Linked DNA regions of Nothobranchius furzeri. The protein of the gene in region 2 purifies or fractionates together with the protein of the main gene of each other region. This does not show direct contact. Links are inferred from orthologs where the notes say so. Each region holds a gene or a part of one and is shown on either strand. Other genes may lie near its edges.

Region 1 (3,829 bases), on a different chromosome or scaffold from region 2:
TTGTGAGTTTATTCATGCTGCAAGATAACCTGGATTCTCTGAGCCATTACCCACAGAACTGCATTTGTCCGTTTTCTCTGCAGGTTTGTTGATTCATATAACAAAGATAAAGCATTCAGCATTATGTTCCCTCTGCAGCATCTCATAACGGTGTCCTGCTGATGGATAATGCTCATTAACTGTTCAGAGGGAGCGTAGATCACTGCTGCCTCCACAAAATAATAGCTGTGATAAAATCTCACCGTCTCAGCACACGCTCACTGTCCCCTTTTCCCTCTCACACACATCTTTTCTTATTGTTTCTTTTCTTCTTCCTCTTTTCCCATTTTCTTTTCTGTCATTCCGACTTCGCTGTGGAAACAAGACTAACGTTAATAAAACTGCAGTAATTGCGTGTTATGAGAATGGAAGTCGTTAATGGTGTGGTGCGCCGGTCCAATTGACGCCGCCGCATTTGGTGCTTCATTTCTCTCTCCGTCTGTCTCTTCAAACCCCGTCTCTGCAGAGCAACGATAATGACGAGAGGCTGCAGGTGGTGAAGCTGCTAGCTAAGATGTTTGGAGCCAAGGACTCTGAGTTAGCCGCACAGAACAAACCCCTGTGGCAGTGTTACCTGGGCAGGTGAGTTTCAGACGCTCTTTTGATGTTGACAGACTTTTAAAGGGTTAAGGAAAAGTTCAAACTCTCCTTATGTGTTTATTGGTCAGTCACTTTGTTTATTATAAGGCTTAGACATATTTGTTTGTATTTTTTGGGAGTTATGTGTTTTACTTCTCTAATGTACTTTGTATCAACTAACTGCCTTATTGTGTAGTTTTGTTCCAAATACTCAAGGATTACTTTGTAACTTCAGTATTCTTTTATCTGATGGGTAATTATCAGTCTTATGAGACCAATGGGTACATTGAAATTGTATCTAACCCTGCATTATATGCTGTTATTAGGGATGTTGGACAATACTATCGGTCTAACGTTAATATCGTCCGAAATCAGCATAAAACTTTGATGTCAGAAAATAATATCGATTTTCAGTCTTATAATGACACAACTTTGATATTCACATATTGTACATAACACTCTTTTGCTACTTCTCCATCTTAAAATGTCAAAATGTAACAGCTCTGAGGTTAAGCTTTGAGATATTTTAGTTTATTTGGCAAAACTAGTAGAAATGTGCCCTCTGTAGTGAACGTGCGCTGTCCTCACAGCACGGAGCTATGTGTAGCTAGCCCGCTAACAATAAAACAAACACGAGTCTTCACCCAAGACTCGCTTTTCTTATCTCAAGATCTTAATAAATGTTTTATCACCGTAGCTGCAATATGCCGAAAAATAAAAAATACGTTACTAATAAAGGTCGACCGATATAGATTTTTCTATTGCTGCGGCAGATGTTGATCTGTAGGAGACATGGTCAGGCGATGGCTGAAATACTGCTGAACTAAAACAAACTAAAAAGAAAAAGTACTAAAAGATGGCATTAGAATGTCAACACAGCAAGAACACACCAAAGATACTGCTGAATTTTATAGGCTGATATCTAGACCTTTTCCACATAGTTTAACTAACTGTTAAATCTTAACTTTGTGCACTGCTCAGTGTTAAAGTCAGACACCTACATAAAGTTAATTTAGAGTATTTATTATGCAAATGTTATTAGTGAACGTAAAAAAACATTAAAATTAAATTCTGCAACATTACCAAGCTACCTGAGCACGTGCCTGACTTTAATTCAGCTTCACTAAGGACAAATATCAGCTGATGCTGGTATATAAAAAACAGTAAATATCGGCCAACCAATAAATCTGTCAACCCTTAATTACTAACTAATAAAAATATCTCAGAGTCACACTTTGGGAGATTGAGATTCCGCTGCTATTGGACACAAAATAAATAAGGCACTTTTCCTATTATTAACTAAAGTTTAATAAAAGTTTAAGCATGCATTGGAGGAGATAAGTGATGTTAGTAACCTGAAATGTTTTTCTTTTTAATACGAGAGGAGGACACAGCACAGGTCAGCATCGGGAATTAAAAAGCAGGCATTATTGTGTGTGTGTGTTTGTGTGTGTGTGTGCGTGCGTGCGTGTGTGTGTGTGTTTATTGCCAGACTTAAAGTCCATTTTAAAAGAAAATAACATAAAGATAAAAGAAACAATACAAGAAAAACACAAGAAAAGAAAAGATACCAGTTAACATTAATACCAATAAGATCCTATATAAAATCACAGGATATAACTGCAGTGGGCGTAAGGGACAACAAAATTAACTAGTTGTGATAAATCTACCCAAACATTTTGGCCAGTGCATTCTCAGCCTAGACATATAACGAGAGCAGCGCACAGTGGGATTTGAGAGTGCAACTATAATACTACTGGAAGATTCTTCCAGCCGTCTCATAAACTTGAACATTACATTTCTTAAAAATGCCTTAAATGTGCACACTCTCACAGAAACAAACATTTGACAAGCACTTCCTCCCCTAGGAATTTTGAGGAGGATTCTCATTGCATCATTGTATGCCACTTGTAACCTGTGCAAGCGCGACTTTTTATAGAATGACCACAGATGTGCAGTATATAGTGGTGTTCAGTATGCTTTAAATGACGCCACTTTAACAGGTGTGGAACAACAGCTAAATTTCTGTGCAATGGTGTTTGCTTGCACATATAGCTTTCAGCACTACCTGTAAATCTCATCACCGTCGCTCATGTTGGCTGTGATTAAGTGTCCAAGATATTTTATCTTTTCACAGACCGCAAGACTTTTGCTGGACAACTTAAACACAGGAAAATTAAGCCTGGTTCTGTAGATTAGAACAGCACTTTTGCTCGAGTTATATTTTAAATCATATTCCTTTCCATACTCGGTACTAACATCTAGGAGCTGTTGCAGTCCTGCACTACTTGAGCTAAAAACTATGAGGTCATCTGCATACATAAGGTGATTAATCAAAACATCACCTATCAAACAGCCTGTGTTACAAGCTCTCAGGCGTCAAGATATTGTGTAGGGTATCTGTAAAAAAGCCAATAAGGAGCCTCTAGTTGTGATATTAAACGATACAAGAATATTCAACAGATGACTCGAATAACACTAAGTTATGATGCACTGCTGCCATCTGGTTGACAAGTAACCTGTTGGTGTTTCATGCACCACAATCAGTAAATTACATTCTTTTGGGTCAAATCAGCAATTTATTGCAACAAGATTAAATCATAACTGTTAATGCATTAAACACTTTTGTCAAACAACTCCAAAGTGCACGATAATGTCTGACTCACTATTCAAAGCATTGTGTCATTGGCAGAGTGGAGACATCTTGAACAAAAATGGTCTTTTTATGCCCCTGAGGGTCCAATTAATGTAATATAATAGTGTCTCACACCCACAATCTAATATAAAACACAGCTGAAAACCTTCGAAAACTCCTTTTAAATCTTCATGTATTGACGGGTAAAAAGCGCCGCCCCATTTTCTCACATTTGTAGGTTGTTGATTGACGCATCACATGCCTGGTGCTGCTTCCTGAGTCTGCTTCCAGCACATTTCCTGCTAGTTTTAGATTGTGAGCACAGCATATTTGTTTAATTCAGTGATGAAACGCTCCTGTAGACACTAATGAAGGCTGGGAGACATTTCAACGGTTAGATTTTGGTGTTAAAAAAACGACCGCACAGCGAGGAGATAAGTTTCACTTTTGGTTTTACTAACTGGACACTAGGGGGTGCTAAAAGCAAGCCAAAACTGCAAAGTCTCCCTTTAAATAGATGTGAGTTGAATCTTTGCATTCGTCTGATTCAGATTAGTTGTCTTTATTATTCTCTAC
Region 2 (3,518 bases):
AGTACTCGTGTCGCTCACTGTTCACGTGCTTTTGCAGACCAATATGGTCGACTCACGTGATTAGGTGGCGTTGGTGCAAAGGGTCAATAGAAAACAAGTAAATGTTACACCGTTGGTCGGCTAAAACAGGTCATCAACAACAAGTCCCAATCCAACAGGATTTACTGCTGAAAACATGTCACACAAAGTTTTCAGCTTCCTCCTACTAGCGCAGCGCTGGGCAACATGCCGTTTCTAAAACATGGACAGAAACCTGGTTCAACAGCCAGCGGTTTAGCCGACTCATCGCTGGAGTCAAGAAAAACCGGGATTTTCACCCCAGCGGTAAAAATCGTACTTTTACAGATTATTATAATTACAGTTGTTTAAAGCGGTGGTGCAGAATACCAACCCTGCTCCGGAGATAATCTGCAAGGTTCTTCCGTGTGAAGTTTGCTGCTGCTGTTGGACTGAGTTCATAACCTAAAACCAGGAAACAAGCATCAGTAATTGTTGGTGACAAACGGTGAAACTAAGGAAGAGCGCCACAACCACATCATACCATTTCTCATCTTGTACAGCTGAACGTTCTTCTGGATGTACTCCGCGAACTGCACCGTGTCTCCGGCCTCTCCGACACACAGCAGCAGGATCTTTTCACTCAGCTTGAACATTTTGTCATAATCTGAGACACCAAAGAACAAAACTCAGTGTGAAAGTCATCCTCTGAAAAAAGCCAGATGTCAGCACCAGTCGCCCCAAAAACAGAAACCAGGTCCGGATTCAGGCGAGTGATGAGAAAACATCACTTTGAAAAAGAACCAGGAGGTTGGACTGAAGCATCCCTTCAGATCAGATTCATTTACATCTAACTTTAAACAACGATCAGTAACACATGTGCACTGTTTTAGATCAGAACCAGTTTGATTTGGTTTCTGTTGAACACAACCGGACTTTCACTTTCACCGCCGGGGTCGCTCACCACGAGATTTAGCAGGCTAGAATAAAGCATATAAACATCCTAAAGCTCAGAACTAAACTCAGAAGCTAAGTTTGATTTCTAAAAGGCTCATCGTACCTCTCATTGGCCGGTAATGGCTTTATTGTCTTACTTTTTAATCTCCTTTGGCAAATAAAATGTGACAAATGGTCATTAATGCGTTAGAATGAAACAGCAAATCCTAAAATATAAAGACTTATACGCAGACACGCGTCTGACAAACAGAAACAGAATCAAATGAGAGAAGAGCTAATGCTAAGCTAGGTAGCTAACACACCGTGTTTCATCTGAATGATGCTGCTGGCGGCCACATTATCGGCTGCGACGAGAACGAAATCCGGTCCCTGTATACCGATTAAATATTCCATCGTCTCCAACCGAACCAACACGGAATAACGGTGAAAATCAGGTGAGACAGCAGTCAAGTATGAGCGTCAAGCGTCCGGATTACACAGCAAAAACTTTGCTCTTCCACTGGCGCGGCTTGTTAGAGTCACGATGATGTTGTCGTCATCACCGTGCGACTCGAGCGGGTAATTTCGAAAGTGGCGCCGTTGTTTGAGCAACCGGAGGAGATTCAATCGAAACCGAGTGAATAATTCGCTGTTAGTGGGCAGATTTCAGCATGGACGAAGGCTCGCCTCATGGGGCGATGGCGGGAGCTAACGGTCCTCTCGGGCCGCAGCGAAGACGCTCGCCGCGGTTCAGTTCTCCGCAAGCTCCGCTGGGAGGTGAGAAGATGGCGCTGGGAATTAAACGCTCCATCACCGTGCGGAAAATAGCGCCCAGAAAAACGAGCGCTTCGTCTAAACACAACAAGGAGAACACGCCGAGGCACTCCGAGCAGGTACAGCAGCTGAAGACCAAAGTCTCAACCCCCGATCCCGGCCCGGACCGCAGGGCCTCCTCCTCCGCCGCGAGGAAGAAGCAGCAGGCGCCCATGCCCTCACGGATCCTCCCGTCCTCCCCACCGGACTCCTGTCGGACCCAGCAGCCGGCTGCTGAACCAGAGGCCGGCGTGTGTGCGCAGAAAGCCCGCCGGTCCTATAGCAGGCTCAGCGACAGTTCCCTCCACAGTAGCCCCGACTCCAGAGAAACGTTATTCGGCTTCGAGAGGCTGAGGACCCCGGAGGTTGTCCGGAAGTCCAAGCAGACCAGGGACGCTCTGGAAGTTTCTGGACCCATCACGTCTTTCACTGAATCGACCGACGAGGGCTTTGCTGAACCGGACCCGAACATCCCCGGAGTGTCGGTGTCAAAGGAGCGGAGGAGGAGGCGGAAGGTGCCGCAGATTGACTCGGCCGAGCTGGACCATCTGGCCGCTCAGATGAACGCGGAGTTCCGGGAGGCCGAGGAGTTCGAGTTGGTGGTGGAGTAGAACCGAACCCACCAGAACCAGCGTATGGATCTTTGACTGGAGGGGTGGTGGGGGTGTAAATACGTCCGGGACTCTTGATGGATTGTATATGTAGCTCGTGAAGGTTTTTTTCTCTACACCATCATGGTTCGGTCCATTTGGACTTCCTGTGTCGGCTCTGTAGCTTGAGAGTTCTGGATAAATCAAAACGGACTTTGTTCTGGTTAAGCGGTTCTGATCAGATCCCAGACCGGTTCTGATGCAGTATTCTTTACTGAATAAACCAGAGAAACAACACGAGCCCAGTAGAACCGAACCAGAACCAGAACGTCTCTGCTGACAGAGTTGAACTGACTTCAGGTTAAAGCTGCTTTTCTGGCTTTGTGGAGTTTTTTGTTGGACTTTTCCAGGTTTTCCTGTCAGTTTTCCTTTCTGCTTCCTAATAAACCCACACTGAAGCAAGCACCCTGCCTGTTGACCTGTTCACACGTCACTTCAGATTAGAGTTAATCTGGGCTACAGTTAACCTGGGTTATAGTTAATCTGGGCTACAGTTAACCTGGGTTATAGTTAGTCTGGGCTACAGTTAACCTGGGTTATAGTTAGTCTGGGCTACAGTTAACCTGGGTTATAGTTAGTCTGGGCTACAGTTAACCTGGGTTATAGTTAATCTGGGCTACAGTTAGTCTGGGTTAGTGTTAAACACAAACAACAACATTGACCATGATCACACATTTACTGTGTTTAAAACCAAACTTCAGACCAGAACACACGATTGGTCACACACTCCATGACATCAGCACTTTACCTGACAGCATTAATTTAAATATAAACAACCCTGGTACTGATGAAAGGGTGAATGTAGATAACACATTTACTGTAATTCACATCATTGTGTCTCTCAGTGAACACCTGGTCCGTTCAGAGGACTTAATCCAGCGCTTTACTATGAATGAATGAATTTAGGTAGAAACCAACAGCTGACCTCGGTTAACAGAGGCTGAAGCTAAAGACAAGATTCAAACCCTAAAACACCGTGTGTGTGTGATATGGACAGCAATTACATCAGACAAACCAGATGCATGGTTTCAGTGTGTTAGCATGAATGCTAATTTGCAGCACTTGTCCACAGACACCTTTTGTAAAAGGTAGAACACATTTAAATAATCAAATCAAAGAAAA

Evidence for each region.
Region 1: the proteins of cdca5 (region 2) and pds5b purify together in Homo sapiens (affinity purification with western blotting; 4 studies listed by BioGRID and IntAct, with this or other methods). This does not show direct contact. The link is inferred for Nothobranchius furzeri from reciprocal best matches to the Homo sapiens genes CDCA5 and PDS5B.

What each region holds. Positions count from the first base shown.
Region 1 is NC_091750.1:61,974,725-61,978,553, reverse strand, and holds part of pds5b (sister chromatid cohesion protein PDS5 homolog B), read left to right. Parts: intron 1-505; coding exon 506-621; intron 622-3,829. UniProt on the Homo sapiens protein: Regulator of sister chromatid cohesion in mitosis which may stabilize cohesin complex association with chromatin. May couple sister chromatid cohesion during mitosis to DNA replication.
Region 2 is NC_091759.1:26,796,955-26,800,472, reverse strand, and holds cdca5 (sororin), read left to right. Parts: upstream 1-1,604; coding exon 1,605-2,357; 3' UTR 2,358-2,799; downstream 2,800-3,518. UniProt on the Homo sapiens protein: Regulator of sister chromatid cohesion in mitosis stabilizing cohesin complex association with chromatin. May antagonize the action of WAPL which stimulates cohesin dissociation from chromatin.